Linked DNA regions of Rhinolophus ferrumequinum. The protein of the gene in region 1 purifies or fractionates together with the protein of each later gene. This does not show direct contact. Links are inferred from orthologs where the notes say so. Each region holds a gene or a part of one and is shown in the gene's direction. Other genes may lie near its edges.

Region 1 (7,397 bases):
GGGCACTGGAGTAGAAGGACCACAGGGAAGTGTGGGGGCCTGGGAGGAGGACCCAGCTTTGAGGCCCAGGGGTAGCGTGAGCAGAGGCCTGGCCCACACCTGGTGAGTTCTGGCTCATTCCTGGACCCAGTAGATGCCCTCCCTGGGAAGGCTGAGAGGGAGGCCTTCACCTGAGCCCTTGTTGCCCCACCACGCAGAGTACCTGTACAGCTCGCTGGCCACGCTGCTCATCTGCCTCTGCTCGGTTTGCGGCCTGCTACTTCTCATCTGCACTGCCTGCAGCACTGCTGCCCGTTACATCATCCAGGCCTTCCTGGGCATGGCCATGGGCGCGCTCACCGGAGACGCCCTCCTGCACTTGATGCCCAAGGTGGGCCCCAGCCCCTAGGTCTTCCCTGCCCCACCCCCCAAGGCGCTCCATTGCCCCGCCCTCCTGTGGCCCTTCCGCCAGCCCTGACCCCTCCCTTTCATCTGTGGCGGGGAGAACCTGGGGCACCCAGCCCAGCGCCCCCTGCCCCTCCAAGGTTCTAGGGCTGCACCAGCACGGGGGACACAGCGAGCATGGAATGAACTGCCACAGCCCTCAGCACGTCTGGCGCCTGGTGGTCGTGCTCGGCGGCCTGTATGCCTTCTTCCTGTTCGAGAAACTTGTCGATCTCTTGCTGCCCCTGGACCCAGAGGTCAGGCACATGAGGGCTGGACAGGGTGGGTGGACGCGGAGGAGGCATGGAGGGCCCTGAGCCGCTGTCCCGCAGGACCCAAAGGACGAGCCTCGCGGCCACGGTGGCCACAGCCATGGCGTGTCCCTACAGTTAGCACCCAGGGAACTCCGGCCGCCCAAGCAGCCCCACGAAGGCTCCCGCGCAGACCTGGTGAGCTGCCCCGCTGGGACCTCCCGTCCCACACGGAGCCCCCTCCACATGGACCCTTTCCAGAGCCTACACTTCCAGCCCCCACCCCAGCGCTTCCGTCCTGCTGGCCTCTGAGGCTGATCTGGGACCCCAGCACCTCCCTCCTCCCCCCCTCCCCCGCCCCGGGGGTTCATCCACCGGAAACCCCTGCAGGTGGCGGAGGAGAGCCCTGAGCTGCTGAGCCCGGAGCCCCGGAGACAGAGCCCTGGTGAGCCCTGGGGGAGCCCCGGAAAGGTTGGGGGCCAGGGGTTCGGCAGCGGCCGTACTGAGGCCGACCCATGCCCGCTGCGCCCGCAGAGCTGAGGCTGCTGCCCTACATGATCACGCTGGGCGACGGCCTGCACAACTTTGCCGACGGGCTGGCGGTGGGCGCCGCCTTCGCGTCCTCCTGGAAGACGGGGCTAGCCACCTCGCTGGCCGTGTTCTGCCACGAGGTGCCCCACGAGCTGGGTGAGCTGCGCGGGGCTGGCCTACTGGGCGGGACCCGCCGGGGATGTGGCGAGCAGAGCGGGGCGGGGCCTGGGCAAGGGGCGGGGGCTGTGGGGGCGGGGCTCTCGGCCTGACACCGTTCCTCCCGCCTCAGGGGACTTCGCCGCCTTGCTGCACGCCGGACTGTCGGTGCCCCGGGCGCTGCTGCTGAACTTGGTGTCGGCGCTCACGGCCTTTGCGGGCCTCTACGTAGCGCTCGCGCTCGGCGTCGGCGAGGAGAGCGAGTCCTGGATCCTGGCGGTCGCCATCGGCCTCTTCCTCTACGTGGCGCTCTGTGACATGGTCAGGCTGGAGGGCGCGGAGGGGGCTGCCGGGGTGGGAAGCTGAGCAAGGACGCTGAGCTCGCCACTGACACAGCTCACCTCCTCAGCTCCCCGCCATGCTCAAGGTGCGAGACCCCCGGCCCTGGCTCCTTTTCCTGGTGCAAAACGTGGGCCTACTGGGCGGCTGGGTCGTCCTGCTGCTGCTGTCGCTGTATGAGGACAACATCACCCTCTGACGGCACCTCCGCCCCACTCTCGGGACCTGACTCCCTCCTGGCCCTGCGCTGTCTCAGCCCTTTGGACCTGAACCTACAGCTGAGTACCTGGAGAGCCCCCAGGCCTCTGAGAGTCTCCCCGCCCCCCATACCCCAGCAACGCAACTTCAATAAAGACATTCCTACCCTTGGAGCCCAGCCTGCTGTTCCTACTGGGAGGGAAGGGTCTCCCACCAAAGAGGAGGAGGAGTGAGGCAGTGCCTGGAGCCCTGACAAGGAGCCAACAGAGCTGCGGTGCTTGGGCTTCCAGGCAGCCAACCCCCGTCTGGCCTATCCTCCAGCCCCTCACCCTCCCACCCAGGCGATTCCACTAACAGCCTCCTTTCACCTCAGTGGGGAAGAGGATCCGCCAGGCGAGCCAACCTCTGCCATCCCACCACCAGCCCTGCCACCTCCCAGCCCCCTTTGCCCACCAGCTGCACCCTACCCTCGGCTGCCCTCCCCAAGACTGTGCTGCAGGGTCTCTGGCTCTCTCTGCACTGACCACCACTCTACCAGACGAGTTCTCATTCATTTGTTAGGGCACTCGCCATTTGCCAGGCTAGTCTCATGGTGCTGTGGGCACTGACTTGTTCAGTTGTCACCGATGCCCTGTGATGTGGGCACCGTGAGTGTCCATCTGACATAGATGCTGATGTTATTTAGTGTTTGCCTGGCTGCCTTCTCTAGCACATACTCATGGTTCTGGCAACAGGGACTTCTTAGGACTTTTGAAGGGGGTTGATGTGGCGCAGGGATCCCACACCTGCCTGGGCATCCCAGTGGTGCCTTCGTGTGTTGCTCCACAGTTCAGACGCGGAGCCTTATTGCTGATGTGAGCAAGTGGGCCAATTTGGGTGAAACACATTTATATGCTATTTTCTTGGGTGTGACCATACTTTCTCATTTTTTTTTTCACTCTTCTTCCACCTCCCCTCTCCTCACTCCGGTTCACTCGGGTTCTAGCCGTTGTTTCTCAGTCTAGTTGTATAGGACACAGCTCCCTGGCCCATGCTGGTATTACGAGCCTTGAGCTCCCCCTGGCTGAGGCAGTTGGTCGCCAGTCGTTGGTCGGCTGCTCACAGAAGCTCACGGCAGCTCTCGCACCGGCAGCTCTCGCACCGGCTGCCAGCTGCTCACAATGGCTTCCAGCCACTCCTGGTAGCACACAGTAGCCCACAGCAGCACACAGCAGCCCATGGCAACCGAAGATGGCTGTCGGCCACTCACGATGGCCACCGGCCGCTCATGGCAGCACACAGCAGCTCACCGCAACCTCCGGTTGCTCAACCTCCAGCAGCCCAGCTCCACAGAGAGCTGTTCACAATCGTAGCTGTAGAGGATGCAACTCAACTGGCGCATGTGGGAATTGAACCCGCGACCTCGGCCTTAGGTCTTAGGAGCGCAGTGCTCTAACCACTTGAGGCACCAGGCCAGTCCTCGTTTTCTTATGATTCCTTTTCTAAGGCCCAGGCCTGTCTCAGTGTGTTGGGCTCGTCTCTGCCAAGGGAGGTGAGGTCCTGGCTCCGGGAACCTTGAGGTGGGCAACTGTGCCAGGCCCGAGGAGGGCGCAAGATCTAGATAAAAATCGCTGCCCTGGGGGGAGGGGCTCACGTGGTAGAGGGGAGGACTGGAAGACACCTGGCCACTGAAGCGAGGAGGGTTGTGCGCCTGCAGTGCCTGTATTTTGGTGGTGGTAGGGGTGGTGTCGCTCTGCGGAGAGAACGCTGAGCAGTGACAGGAGGCAGCATCTGTCCCTGAAGCTTTCACAGCCCGGGACTGGTCCAGCCTCCTCCACACTGGCGGCACTTGCCCGGCGTCCTTCCCTCCCAGCCCCACACTTGGAGGCTCAGGCTCTCCTGGGTCACCCGAACCTCAGCTCCTGGCACAGCGCCTCTTACAAGGGGGCTTGGTGGAGGAGACTCGTCTCTTCTTACGGGGAGATTCTCCACGTGGACCCCATCCGGGGTCAGGCAGAGGACCCAGAGGTCTCTGAGCCGCCGGACGCCCGCCGTACTTCCAGCCTAGCCCCTCGTTCCCCAAGCTGTGGGGCCCAGGATCTCGGGGCTCTGCACGCGGAGACGCGAAACCGCTCGGCTACCCGCAGCCGCCGAGGGCAGCTATCGCCCCCCGCAGCTGCTTCGCCATGGCGGCACTGCGCAGGCGCAGGAACCGGAACCTCCGTGCTCAGCTTCCGGGCCCGGCCGGAGCGTGTTCATCGACGTCCCGGTCCCCCGCGAGCAGGTTCCAACTGCCAGGTGGGCGGCGGGCGGCGGGCTGAGGGGATTCGGGCGTGGGAGGCCCCACTCATCCTGTCGCCTTCCGGCCCCGTGCAGCCCGGGCTCGGCGCCATGTACGCCGTGTACAAGCAGGCGCACCCGCCCACCGGCCTGGAGTTCTCCATGTACTGCAACTTCTTCAACAACAGCGAGCGCAACCTCGTGGCGGCCGGGACCTCGCAGCTCTACGTGTACCGCCTGAACCGCGACGCCGAGGTAGGTCCGGGCCGCGCCGGCCTCCGGGCCCCGCCCGCCTCCTGACAGCTCGGTGAGGTGGGCGCCCAGTGGCAGACGGAGAAGCGCGACCGGACACGACCAGTGCTTGTCTCCAGAACCTGTTCTCGCCGCTGCTACATGTTTCCGCCTCCAGTGCGCTCCTGTGGGCATGGAGCCCTGCCCTCGTGCATCTTATTTGCTCTTTGTTTTTCAGCGGTTAAATGATATGAACACCTGCTATGTGTTAGGTAGTAGGAATACGCTGGAGAACAAAACCTGCAGAAAGTTGGGGCAGGGGGCCTTCCCTAAGTACACAGAGGAGGTAATGAAGGAGGCAGTGTGTCCCCAGCTGGCTGACCAGGAGAGCCTCCTGGAGGCCGAGTAGGAGTTTGTCAGGGGAAGAACATTCCTGCCAGAGGGAACACTGGCAGCAGTTTTAGTAAAGTGTGATGAACTCATCAGTAGAGGAAAGAGGATGCTTAGGTTGCTGGAGGCATGAGAGTTAGTCCAGGAAGGCTTCTTGCAAGAGGCAGCTTCTTATCTGTTCATGAAGGGGGAGAAAGACTTAGCCAGGCTCAGGATGAGGAGTGAAGAGTGCTCCAGGCATTAGGAAAAGCCTGTGCACAGGCCAGAAGCAGCTGAGGGTGGGGAGGGCCATGCAAAGTTGGTCTGGGGTGTAGAGTGGAAGAGGAGAGTTAGTCAAGTGAACACGGACAGCTCTTGGAAGGAGATTTGTGCACAGGGAAGAAATGTAGCAGTAACTGGCTGGAGAAGGTTTTGTTTTAAGATGAGCAATACAGTAGCACATTTGTGCACTGAAGGCATTGCGCCCCTGAAGTGGGGCTTGCTGTCCGAAGCTCACTGAGATCTAAGGACGCTTTCTACATCTTTACAAGTTGTAAAAAATTCCAAAGGAGCGTCCTCAACAGACCAGATTGAGTGAAAACCCTGTCAGATATTTGCTCCTTAGTCCTTTCCAGGAAAGTTTGCCAACTCTTGCACGAGAAGGTAAAGCGTGAGGCAGCAAGAGATGGAGAGAGAGCTGGAGGCCAGTCGTTGTGTGGGTGAGAGCATTCAGGACCAGTCTAGTCATCACTGCAGAACAGACTGCCCTGAGGTTTCAAACAGCCTGTTCCTGTGTTTGCACAAGTGTGGGTGGGTTGGGAGTTTGAGCAGGGCACAGCCCAGACCGTGGGGGACACCTGGCCTCTGCTCTGTGAGGTCTGGGAAGAGAACGGAGAAGCTGTGTAGGAGATAGGCAAGTACATGGCCCGGGGCAGGTGTAGCGTGACAGCTAGCAGTGAGAAAGGCCCCTGCGACCTTTACGAGGAAAAAATATATAGCACTTTTTTAAACTTTTAATAAGAGTCCCAAGTTAATAGAAAATACTAGGGGTGCCAAAAAAATGTGTACACATGACTTGTATTCATCTTTTGTTATCGATACATATTGAGTATTATAATTTTAATAATAGTTTTTTTCTTTCTTAAAACGTATATACATTTTTTTTGGCACTCTCTGTATATCATGGTTATACGGGAAGTCTCATTATTGCAGAGATGTCGGCCATTCCCAAATTAATCCATACGTTCAGTGTTCTTTGTCTCAAAGTTACAATAAAGTTTCTCACTAGATTTAGTCATTTGATTCTCAAATTTACATGGAAGAGCCAAAATTTAAGACTATCGAAGACAGTTTTAAAGATGAACAAGGTGGTATACTTGCCCAACAGGGTTATCAAGAGGTGTGTGTGTGTGTGTGTGTGTGTGTGTGTGTTTTCTGTCTGTGTATGTGTGTGTGTGTGTGTGTGTGAGCGTGCACATGCGCACATGCTTTAAAGCTGCATAATTAGCTACATGGAAGACCAATTTAAAATAACGTTTTACTTTTGAACTGTCCTTCTTGTCATGAAATATTCTTTTTATCTCTAGCATATTTTGCCTTTAAGATCCACATTGTCCAATAGTAACGTGGCTACCCCAGCTTTTTTTTGTTGCATGGAATAACTTTAAAATCTGTGTCCTTATATTTAAAGTGACTCAGTAGCAAACAGTGGGGTGTTGTTTGTTTTTTTGGTAGCGTTTGTCTTCTCATTGGATTGTTTGTCTACATGTGATGTGATTTTCTACGCAGTCGGGTCTGAATCACCATCTCACTCTGTGTCTTTCTGTTATTCCTTTATTCTTCCTTTTTCCTTCTTTCTACTTTGTCTTGGATTAATCAGGTATTTTTATTTCATTTTATCTTCTCTGTAGGTTTCTCTTTAGGCATTTTGTGTCATTTTCTAATGAGTTACATTAGCAATTACAGCAGGCCTCTGATTTATGATAGTCTGGTTCAAATGAGTACTTTTGTTCCAAATGACATGAATCCTTGTAAGGCTCTAGCCCTGTGTACCCCCTTATCCTTTGTTTTGTGGTCACATGTTTCACTTCTGTGGGACAGAGCCAGGCAGGTTTGGGGTGCACAGAGCAGCTGTCCAGCCATCCTCTCACCCTGAGTGCTCCCCGTGTTAGGGTGGGCTCCTCAGGAGAATCCTGTGGCCTGGTTGGGGTCCCCGTGTGAGTGTGACTTTGTCCACATTGGGCTGGGGTGTGCATGGCTGTCTCCAGGAGTGCCTGGTCACGTGCTCCCCACGGCAGTGAGGGTTCAGTCAGGGCTGCTGGTGGCAGAGCCAGCCCTGGGTGGTCTTTCCCCATTGTCCCTCCATGAGGTGGAGCCGCCAACAGCAGCAGTGTGGCCCTTCACTGTCTTTCCTCTTCCTCCTCCAGGCTCCAACCAAGAATGACAGGAGCACAGGTGAGCACATGGTGGCCACCCTGGCCATGCCGCTGGGGGCGTGGGTGGCTGGAGCGGGAACCAGACCTATACCCACTGGCCTCTCCCCCAGAGGGGAAGGCCCACCGGGAGCACCGAGAAAAGCTGGAGCTGGTGGCTTCCTTCTCCTTCTTCGGCAACGTCATGTCTATGGCCAGCGTGCAGCTG
Region 2 (8,404 bases), on another chromosome or scaffold:
CTGTAAGTGGTTCTCAAAGTGCAGTCCAGGACACCCTGGGGTGTCTCCAAGACCTTCTCAGTATGTTCATGAGGTCAAAACTATTTTCATATAATGCGAAGATATTACTAGCCTTTTTCACTCTTTCTCTCATGAGTGTACAGTGGAGTTTTCTAGAGGCCACATGACATGTGACACTGCAACAGACTGAATGTAGAAGCAGCTATGAAAACCCAGTTGTCTTTTATGGAACCAGATCCAAAAAGGGATCTGCAAAAATGTAACACTGCCACTCCTCTGACTAAATGTTTTGAAATATAGTTATTTTAATAAAAACACATTATGTATCCTAACAAGTTATTGCTATTTAAAAACTAATTAATACATTTAAAAAATTTTCTCAGCTTTTACTTCTCACGTGGTAACTATTGAGAGACATAACCCACATCAGTGAAAACTTCTTGGGGTCCTCAATAATTTTTAACAGTGTAAAAAGGTCCTGAAACCCAAAAAACTGATAACTGCTGATTTATATCTAATCTACATGTGTACTCTCTCTCCATCTTTTAGGTTATAAAATTACAGTTTTTAATAGGTCAAAAATGTTTGACTATCAGAAATCACATTTCAACCTCATATCATCTATTTACTATCTATTATCAAATGTAAGATATCACTGTTTGTAAGCTGCAGTATTAAGAATCAGTAAGAGAAAAAAAATAATAAAAGAGAAAAAAAAGAGAAAAAAAATCAGTAAGAATGGAAAAACGTAGTGTCAATTATAATCTCTAGATACCATTGGCTATAAAACCCATTCCACTTTTGGAAATGTTCAAATGGTGAAAAAATATGCATGAATGAAATACGATAGACATTGCCGTCTCTCTAAATAACTTCTATATAGTCTTCCATCCATTCAACAAATATTTATTGGCCACCTACTCAGTGCCAGGCGCTGCTCCCAGCACTACACAGGGAAAGGTAGGTACCCTTTCATCTTTACAACCACACCATGTGGGAGGCCCTATTATGATGCCTGTTTTAGAACTGAGCAAGCTAAGGCCCAGAGAGGTTGTCAGGGTCACACAGCAAGAAAAGGGCAGAACTCGGTTTCTGAATTCAGGCAGTCTGGTTCCAGACCAGTGTTCTGGATCATGCTATAAAACAGCAGTGACCAAAACAGACTGAAATGCCTGCCCTCATGGAGCTGACAGTTCAGCAGGAAGTGAACAAGATAAGGAAAATACGAAGCACGGTGGATAGTGATTTCTCTTTCTGTGTGTATTTACTCCTTTCATCCACTGTCTTCCGTCCTCTCTCCTTCAATACTTCACCTGCTCCCTGTCCCTGCTGGGGTCTGCTGGCACTGCGGGTGCTGCTCCAGCTCTGGCTGGAGCCAACTTTCTTACGAGGCAGTGGGTCCTTTCTCATCCCCTGTCTGTGAGCATCTGCAGGTCCCAAGGTCCAGAGAGAAAATGGACACTCTGAGTCAGGGACAGGTGGCAACCAACCCAGCTCTGAGTTCTAGTGGAGAAACTCTCCCCTCCCTCTTTCATAGGTCTGTCCACGTAGCAATTTTCTCTCAGGTCTCTGAATCTCCCTGGTGGTTCTGTGTGTGTCTGTCCATCGCCTTCCTTGTCACCGTACCTCTATACCCCTTCCCTCCCCCTCCCCATGTTTATCTCCTCCTGCCCTGTCTTTCCCTTTCCCACTGTCTCTCCTCCCCACATTTTTTTCCTTTCTCTCACCCTCTGTCTCTCTCTACCCCACTCCCCTCCCATCTCCCCATTTCTCTTTCTCCCTCAGCACACCTTTGTATCCATCTGCTTCCTTGCCTCAGTATCACGCTCCTCAGAAATCTCACGTTGAAATTGGATTCCCAGCTACTCCCCTCCCCTATGCACTGGTCTCCCCCATGGTTGGCTGCTTCTGCCCCCTCCCCAGATTAAGGGAAGAGATGAAGGGAAAAGGTGATGGATTTAGGGGGATCTACAGAGAATTCCTAAATTCCTCTGCAACCCCCCTCCCATTTTTCCAACTCAGTCGGACTCTCTTGTATCACAGAGGAAGACAGACTGGGACCCCAGGGCCCTCCTTTTCTGGCTACCTACCCACCCACCCGGAAGTCCTCCTTGAGGTCTGATCTCTAGAACTCCAGCTGCCCTAATCCACCCTAGGCTTTCCCACGCCCCGAGGCTGGGATGAACCCCCAGTGTCCGGGTCTGAGCCGGATTTCCCTGCCAGGGCGGGGCTGAGATTGGGGGGAAAGCCCTCAGGGGACCTGCACCCCCACCCCAGGAGGCTGAAATTTCTCGCCTTTCATTTCCTTATTGTCTCTGGAGGAGGGTGTGACGACGGATCACAGGGAGGCAATGTGAAGCCAGAAGCCTAGCTTCTAGCCCCAGTCTCTACCCAGGACCTAAAGAAGCCCCCAACACTCCAGGCGGCTTCAGGGTTTCCCTCTCTGAAGTGGGGGAGCAGTTGGACCAGCTGATCTGTGGGAACTGGGGGCCAACAGGGCCACCCCAGGGTGATACCTTTCAATTTCCTTCCACACGGGGAGCCAGCCTGGGGGTGTTAATATCACCCCAGCAGGAAGGCGTGGAAGGCCAGAAGCACTTTGGGGGACCTCACAGTTCTCAGTAGCTGAGTAAGTGTGAATGTTTCTCTGTACCTTGTTCTGACCCAAGGGAAGGAGGTGGCTCAGATGATGGAAAGGCTGGGGAGACCCTCAGACAGTATTTCCATCTCCGGCCCCCCATGTCAACTCTTCCAAAATATGCCCCAAAATGCTGATCATCTCTAGACTGTCTCTCAATTTCTGACACAATGTGTCCCCTAAACTTCAGAGTGTGCCCCACATAAGGATTCCTCCATCCTAGATCTCCACATTTACTGATAAGGTGTGTCCCCCAAAACACTGATTTGTAGTTGGTTCCCTTAAATCATATTCCCAGACTCTGAACTGTCTGGAGGTTCAGCTGGGATGCCCCAATACCTGGGAGCCTTCACCTCCAACCTGGTCTCTGCCTTCTGACACCTCCAGCTGCCGATCTCCACCTCTCAACACTTCCAATCCCCCCCTCCCTGGTCGGCCTGCCCCACCCCACGTGCAGCTCACACCTTCACAGCCCCAGGACTGGCCCCTCCCAGGCACCATGCCAAGCCCCGCAGGCCCGGGGATCCGAGAGACCCACATAACAGCATCAAACCCCAGACCCAGGACTCAGGCACCTGGGAGCCCCTGTAACCCTCAGATCTCAGCCTCCTTGTAAAACTCAGACATTCAAGTTCCCCTGCCTCAAGTCCACAGTCCCCTTCCAGGTTAGGAATTTAAGTGTCCAGATCCCCCCTCCACTTCACACTGTTGAGTATAGAGACAGTGAGCTAAGGGGGAGTCCTTGCAGCAAGAGGAATGGGAGTTAGACCAGGGGAAGGACTTTCTGCCTGCTGGGGTGAGGGAAGTAAGATATACCCTGCCCCCTACTCCAGGGTGGTCTAGTCAGAGATGGGGCTAGTGAGGACATTAGCAATTACTGGAGATTACTGGAAGGAGGGTAGGGAGGTGTGAAATCTGAAACCTTCTAGCCTCCAACAGGAGAATCCCTGCTGAGGGTCTCTAACAATTAAAGCAGTGAAGTTCAGTTGGAAGGGGTGAGGGTCAGGAGTAGGGGTGGGGGTGGGGAATGGAAATCGACCCCTCCGCTGCTCTCCCGCTTCCAACTCCGATCTCATCTGGGCCCCCATCTATCTGAACCCCAACTCTAAACCACCTGTTATTCCAGACTACCAAAACTAACCTCCATCTCTTATCCTTGAGCACTAACCCTTATTTCTGACCTCATCTTAGATCGCACCCTGATCCTTATCCCTGAACCCCAATGTCCTAACCCTGAGCTCTCACCTCAGATTTCCCTTAATGGTGACCTCCCTCTGCCATCTCTTAGTTCCTGTCTTTCCCCCCAAATTTGAAGCCATTTCCTAATCCCCCAGCTCTGTCTCCTATTCTGGGAGGTCTGATTCCTAGCTTTGGTTTGTTCATTTTAATCCCTTGGATTTGGGGTCACCAACACCCAGCTCTCACGTTTAAGCTATGACCTGATCCTTACTTAAGTTTTCCTGACTCCCATTTATCGCTCACTCCGACTAGCCTGGGGTAACCGCACTCCCATGCCTGGCCCCGTCCCTGAATCCCACACCTGGTCTCCGTGTCTCTAGTTCCTTTACTCCTCAACTCTAGTTGGAGCCCCCATTCGAGCCCATACCCCAATCCTTGCCCTCATTTAAGTCCGCACCCTGATTCCTACCCCACACTTCCCGCTCCGCCATCCCCGAGGACACACCTCGCCGGCCTCCGGGTAGTAGCTCCACTCCGCCAGGTCATGGGCCTCCATCTTCACGGAGCCCAGCATCCCCCGGGCCTGCGCCCCCACCTGCCCCTGCTCCGGCCCGGGGGGAACCGAGCGCTAAGGATCTCTCAGCCGGCACGGCCCGAGTTCCAACCGGCGCCCGCCCGTCCGACTGACTGCCCAGGGTCCCAGCCGTCCCAGGCGCCGCGGGAGGCGTCCACGCTTTATAGTCGGGACACCCCCCCCCCGCCCTCGCCCGCCCCGGGCTCCCCTCCCGCCTCTCCCTGGGCGGTGCGCTCGGACTGGGGCGCCCCCTGCGGGATTGCGAGGAGATAGACCTCAGGCGCCGGGAGCCGCAGCCCGGGGACGTAAGGGCTGGAGATGGCTGAAGAGTGAGGGAGCTACTGCTGGGAGACACTGCTGATACTAAGGTCCCCGACATCAGAACTCTGGGGCCCTCCACCCCAGGGGCCCCAGACATCATCTTGACAGTAGAGGGCGAATAGCTAGAACCCAGCACGACCGCCGCGGAAGAAAGGGGCCTCAGAGCGCAGTGAACTCCTTGGATCCAGTCTGCCTCTATAAGGACCGGTAGGAGAGCCTCGAAACCACAGTCCCATTAGGTGGACTGGAATACTGAAGCTTCCGACAGCTATTAATAGAAATGCTCCGAACTGTCCAAAAGGTCAGGACCAAAGGTGGAGGAAATTGGGGCTTCTGTTCAGACTCCACTAGGGCAACAGACCACCTCCAAGACCTAGGAGCTTCGCCGCCCGTACTCTCCATTCTCGCTAATACCAGCCGTCCAGGAACTCAACCACCGTGAACTCCGTTTCCCAGAAGTCTCTGTCTCCCTTCCTGTCCCGAGCCTCTGCCAAGGGACTATATTTCCCAGAAGGCACGGCGTTCGAACGCCAGAAATGAAGAGCCACCGGGAGTATTCCGGAAGGCCGCTCGCTGGGCTAGAAATAGGGGTGGGGTCTGCCTACTGCGTGGACTCCATTTCCCGGCGACCCCGTGTGTGCGGCGCGTGCGCAGTGTCACGGCGGCGAGCGGAAGATGGCGGCGGCGGCGGCGTCTGGGAAGAGGCGCTGCTGAGGGGGCGCGAGGGGGACGGAAGCCGGAGCCGCGGTGAGCTGGGGTGGCGTGGGGGCCCGGGGACCAAGGGAGGAAGGACCCTGAAGCGGCAGGAGCGCTGGCAGAGGGATGGGGGCAGAGGAGAAGGGAGCAGTGACGTTTGGTACTCCAGTTTCTTCCCTTGCTCAGGACTCTCCCGTGGGTCCCTAGTGCCCTTAGGGCAAAGTTCCAACGTGGCCCCCAAGGCGCGTCCGTCCCGCGGCCTTGGCTCTGCCTCTGCTCATTCCTCACTTCGAATAGTTGCATTGGTCTTTCGGTTCCTCAAACTCGCCATGCGCCTTCAGGCCTCAGGATTTTTGCACATACTGTCCCCTCTGCCCGCAACATCCTTTTACCCATTCTGCCAGGCTAACTCCCATTCATCTTTCGGGTCTCTGCACCAACGTCACTTCCTCTGCGAAGCCCTCCTTTCCTGCCCTCCATCCCGAAATCCTCCTGTTAAACGCTCTCAGAGGTCCCTGTACCTTCCCTTCATGTCATGTGCCCTCTGATTTGTTATTGTACCTTTGTTTGTTTGACTATTTGATTATGTCTGTCACTGTGAGCTCCACGGAGGCAGGGACTGGGTGTATGTTGTCACTGCTGTGCTCCCAGCACAACGCCGTCACACTGAAGACACCCAGTTAATATTTGGTGAATGAATGAAAGATACTCCTGGGGCCACTGTGTAGATGAGGGGAGTCCTCACGCTCCCAGGTGGGAGGGAGGCAGTGGTACTCCATAAGGAGGACACCGAAAGGAAGGGGAAACAATGACTGTTGGTAATAGCAAAAGATTGCAAGCACCCCACATATTTTCCCCCTTCTTCCACCCCCACCCGGTTTCAAGCCGTTGTTTCTCAGTCTAGTTGTGTAGGACACAGCTCCCTGGCCCATGCTGGTGTTATGAGTCTTGCGCTCCCCCCAGCTGAGGCAGTTGGTCTCCAGTCGTCGGTCGCCTGCTCATGGCAGCTCTCGCCAGCTGCTGGCCACTCACGATGGTCCCCGGCCACTGGCTGCTCATGGCAGCACATGGTAGCCCAGCTCCAGGGAGAGCCGGTGCTCACAGTCTTAGCTGTAAAGGGCGCAGCTCACTGGCCCATGTGGGAATCGAACCGGCGACCTCGGCGTTAGGAGCACGGGTGCTCCAACCACCTGAGCCACTGGGCCGGACCCCAAACATTCTTTAGTAGAAAGACTGGCAGAAAAAAACTGATAACATCCACATGACAAAATACTATGCAACTGTAAAAAGGAACAAGGAAAATCTCTTTACACTGATATGGAGAATGGGCTCCAGCATACATTAAGTGAAAACAGATGAAAAGGAAGATGGTGTTTAATATATGCTCTTTTTATAAAAGAAAGGGAAACATGTATATACCTTACAAAGAAAATAAAAGTAGAGGGGGCAGTCAGTTAGCTCGGTTGGTTAGAGCGCAGTGCTCTTAACAACAAGTTTGCTGGTTCGATACCCACACGTATTACCATCATGAAAAAAAGGTTCACATGAAAAGCTTCATTATGTTCTGATGGGGGACAGCAGTGTGCTGGTTGTTGGGTGGCCATGAGTTGCATGAACAGATGTGGGGTCTATTAATAGAAGACCTGGTCTTATTTTCGGGGAAACACAGTAGGTAGTGTATAGATGATAATAAATGCCATGGAGAAAAATGAAACAACACAGATGGGGAGAGAAAGGAAATTGAGATTTGAAATAGGGTGGTCAAAGAAGACCTCACTGCCAAGGTAGGTGAGCTGAGACCTGAAGGAAATGTGGAGGGAGAGAGTTGTGCCAATATCTGGGAAGAGGAGTATTCCAGGCAGAAGGAAGAGAACCCCAAAGGTTTTGAGGAAGGGGCACGCTTGGCATATTCAGGGGACAAGGAGGCCAGAGTAGCTGGAGCAGAGAGAGCAGAGAGGAGCTGTGGGCAGAGATAGAAGGGACCAAATCATGTAAGGTCTTCTAGGCATTGGTGAGGACATTGGCTTTGACGCCAAGCAAGATGTGGGGGTGACAGGCAGCAGGGATACTAGGAAAGAGGATGCTGGATAGTCATTCGTCCTGCAGACACCCTCAAATTTTTGTTAACAGTTTATGTAGTATCATTCCGATCTTTTCTCATGTCTATAAAAATGCAGCTGTACTTATCTCATGTTTACTGTGTGTCCTAACTCAAGGTAGTCCTTCCTGCGAGGCAAGCACTGTGACCACCTCTGTCTCACAGAAGACAAAACTGACTCAGGTCGCTCTGTGTAGACATACGCAAACTTAACAAAAATGGATTGAATTGCACATGTTCTGTGATGTATTATTATAGCAGGCTGTGGGGGACATATTTTTACGATGATATTGCACTGAGAGCCACTCATTTCTTTTTTTGCCGTTTCCTTCCTCTTCTGCTTTTTGGTTTATCCTTTCAGTTTCTTTTCTTCTTCCTTTTTTTAAACATATACACATTTCCCTTTCTTTTGTAAAAAGGGAGCATACAGTAAACATTGTCTTCTACTTTGTTTGTTTTCACTGAATATATGCTGGAGCCCACCGATCATAAGTGTATAGAGATTTTCCTCATTCCTCCTTTTTCCCTCCCTCATTCCTTTTCGCAGCTGCATAGTGTTTTATGGTGTAGCTCTATCATACTTTTTCAGCCAGTCTTCCTCTTTGAGAACCCTTTGGGTGCTAATAGTCTTTTGCTCCTTAGTCCTGTGATTGAGATCCTTCTTATTTCATAGTTGTGCCACTGTGACTTTGGGACAGAGCCCAAAAGTTTTCCCTCCCCACCCCACCCCTTTTTGAAAACAACTCCATAGCATTTCAGAAAATGGCTGAAACATAATTTATTCAACTGAGCCTTTTCTGATGTATTGAGTACTTACTGTGAGCAGGACTCTGTGACTGGTGTGTTTTAGAAAGCTTGCTCTGGTGTCCAGTCCAGAGTACAGCCCAGATGAAGAGTC

What was found.
Region 2: the proteins of CPSF1 (region 1) and SYMPK fractionate together in Homo sapiens (co-fractionation; 5 studies listed by BioGRID and IntAct, with this or other methods). This does not show direct contact. The link is inferred for Rhinolophus ferrumequinum from reciprocal best matches to the Homo sapiens genes CPSF1 and SYMPK.

Annotation. Positions count from the first base shown.
Region 1 is NC_046297.1:73,119,029-73,126,425, reverse strand, and holds the start of CPSF1 (cleavage and polyadenylation specificity factor subunit 1), read left to right. Parts: upstream 1-4,125; 5' UTR 4,126-4,175; exon of another isoform or gene 4,176-4,253; 5' UTR 4,254-4,268; coding exon 4,269-4,412; intron 4,413-7,183; coding exon 7,184-7,211; intron 7,212-7,302; coding exon 7,303-7,397. Other genes in the region: SLC39A4 (zinc transporter ZIP4), read left to right, coding at 198-370, 525-680, 756-872, 1,065-1,119, 1,209-1,361, 1,495-1,682, 1,771-1,899. UniProt on the Homo sapiens protein: Component of the cleavage and polyadenylation specificity factor (CPSF) complex that plays a key role in pre-mRNA 3'-end formation, recognizing the AAUAAA signal sequence and interacting with poly(A) polymerase and other factors to bring about cleavage and poly(A) addition.
Region 2 is NC_046298.1:42,118,099-42,126,502, reverse strand, and holds the start of SYMPK (symplekin), read left to right. Parts: upstream 1-5,345; 5' UTR 5,346-5,459; intron 5,460-8,404. Other genes in the region: FOXA3 (hepatocyte nuclear factor 3-gamma), read right to left, coding at 4,323-4,391. UniProt on the Homo sapiens protein: Scaffold protein that functions as a component of a multimolecular complex involved in histone mRNA 3'-end processing. Specific component of the tight junction (TJ) plaque, but might not be an exclusively junctional component. May have a house-keeping rule.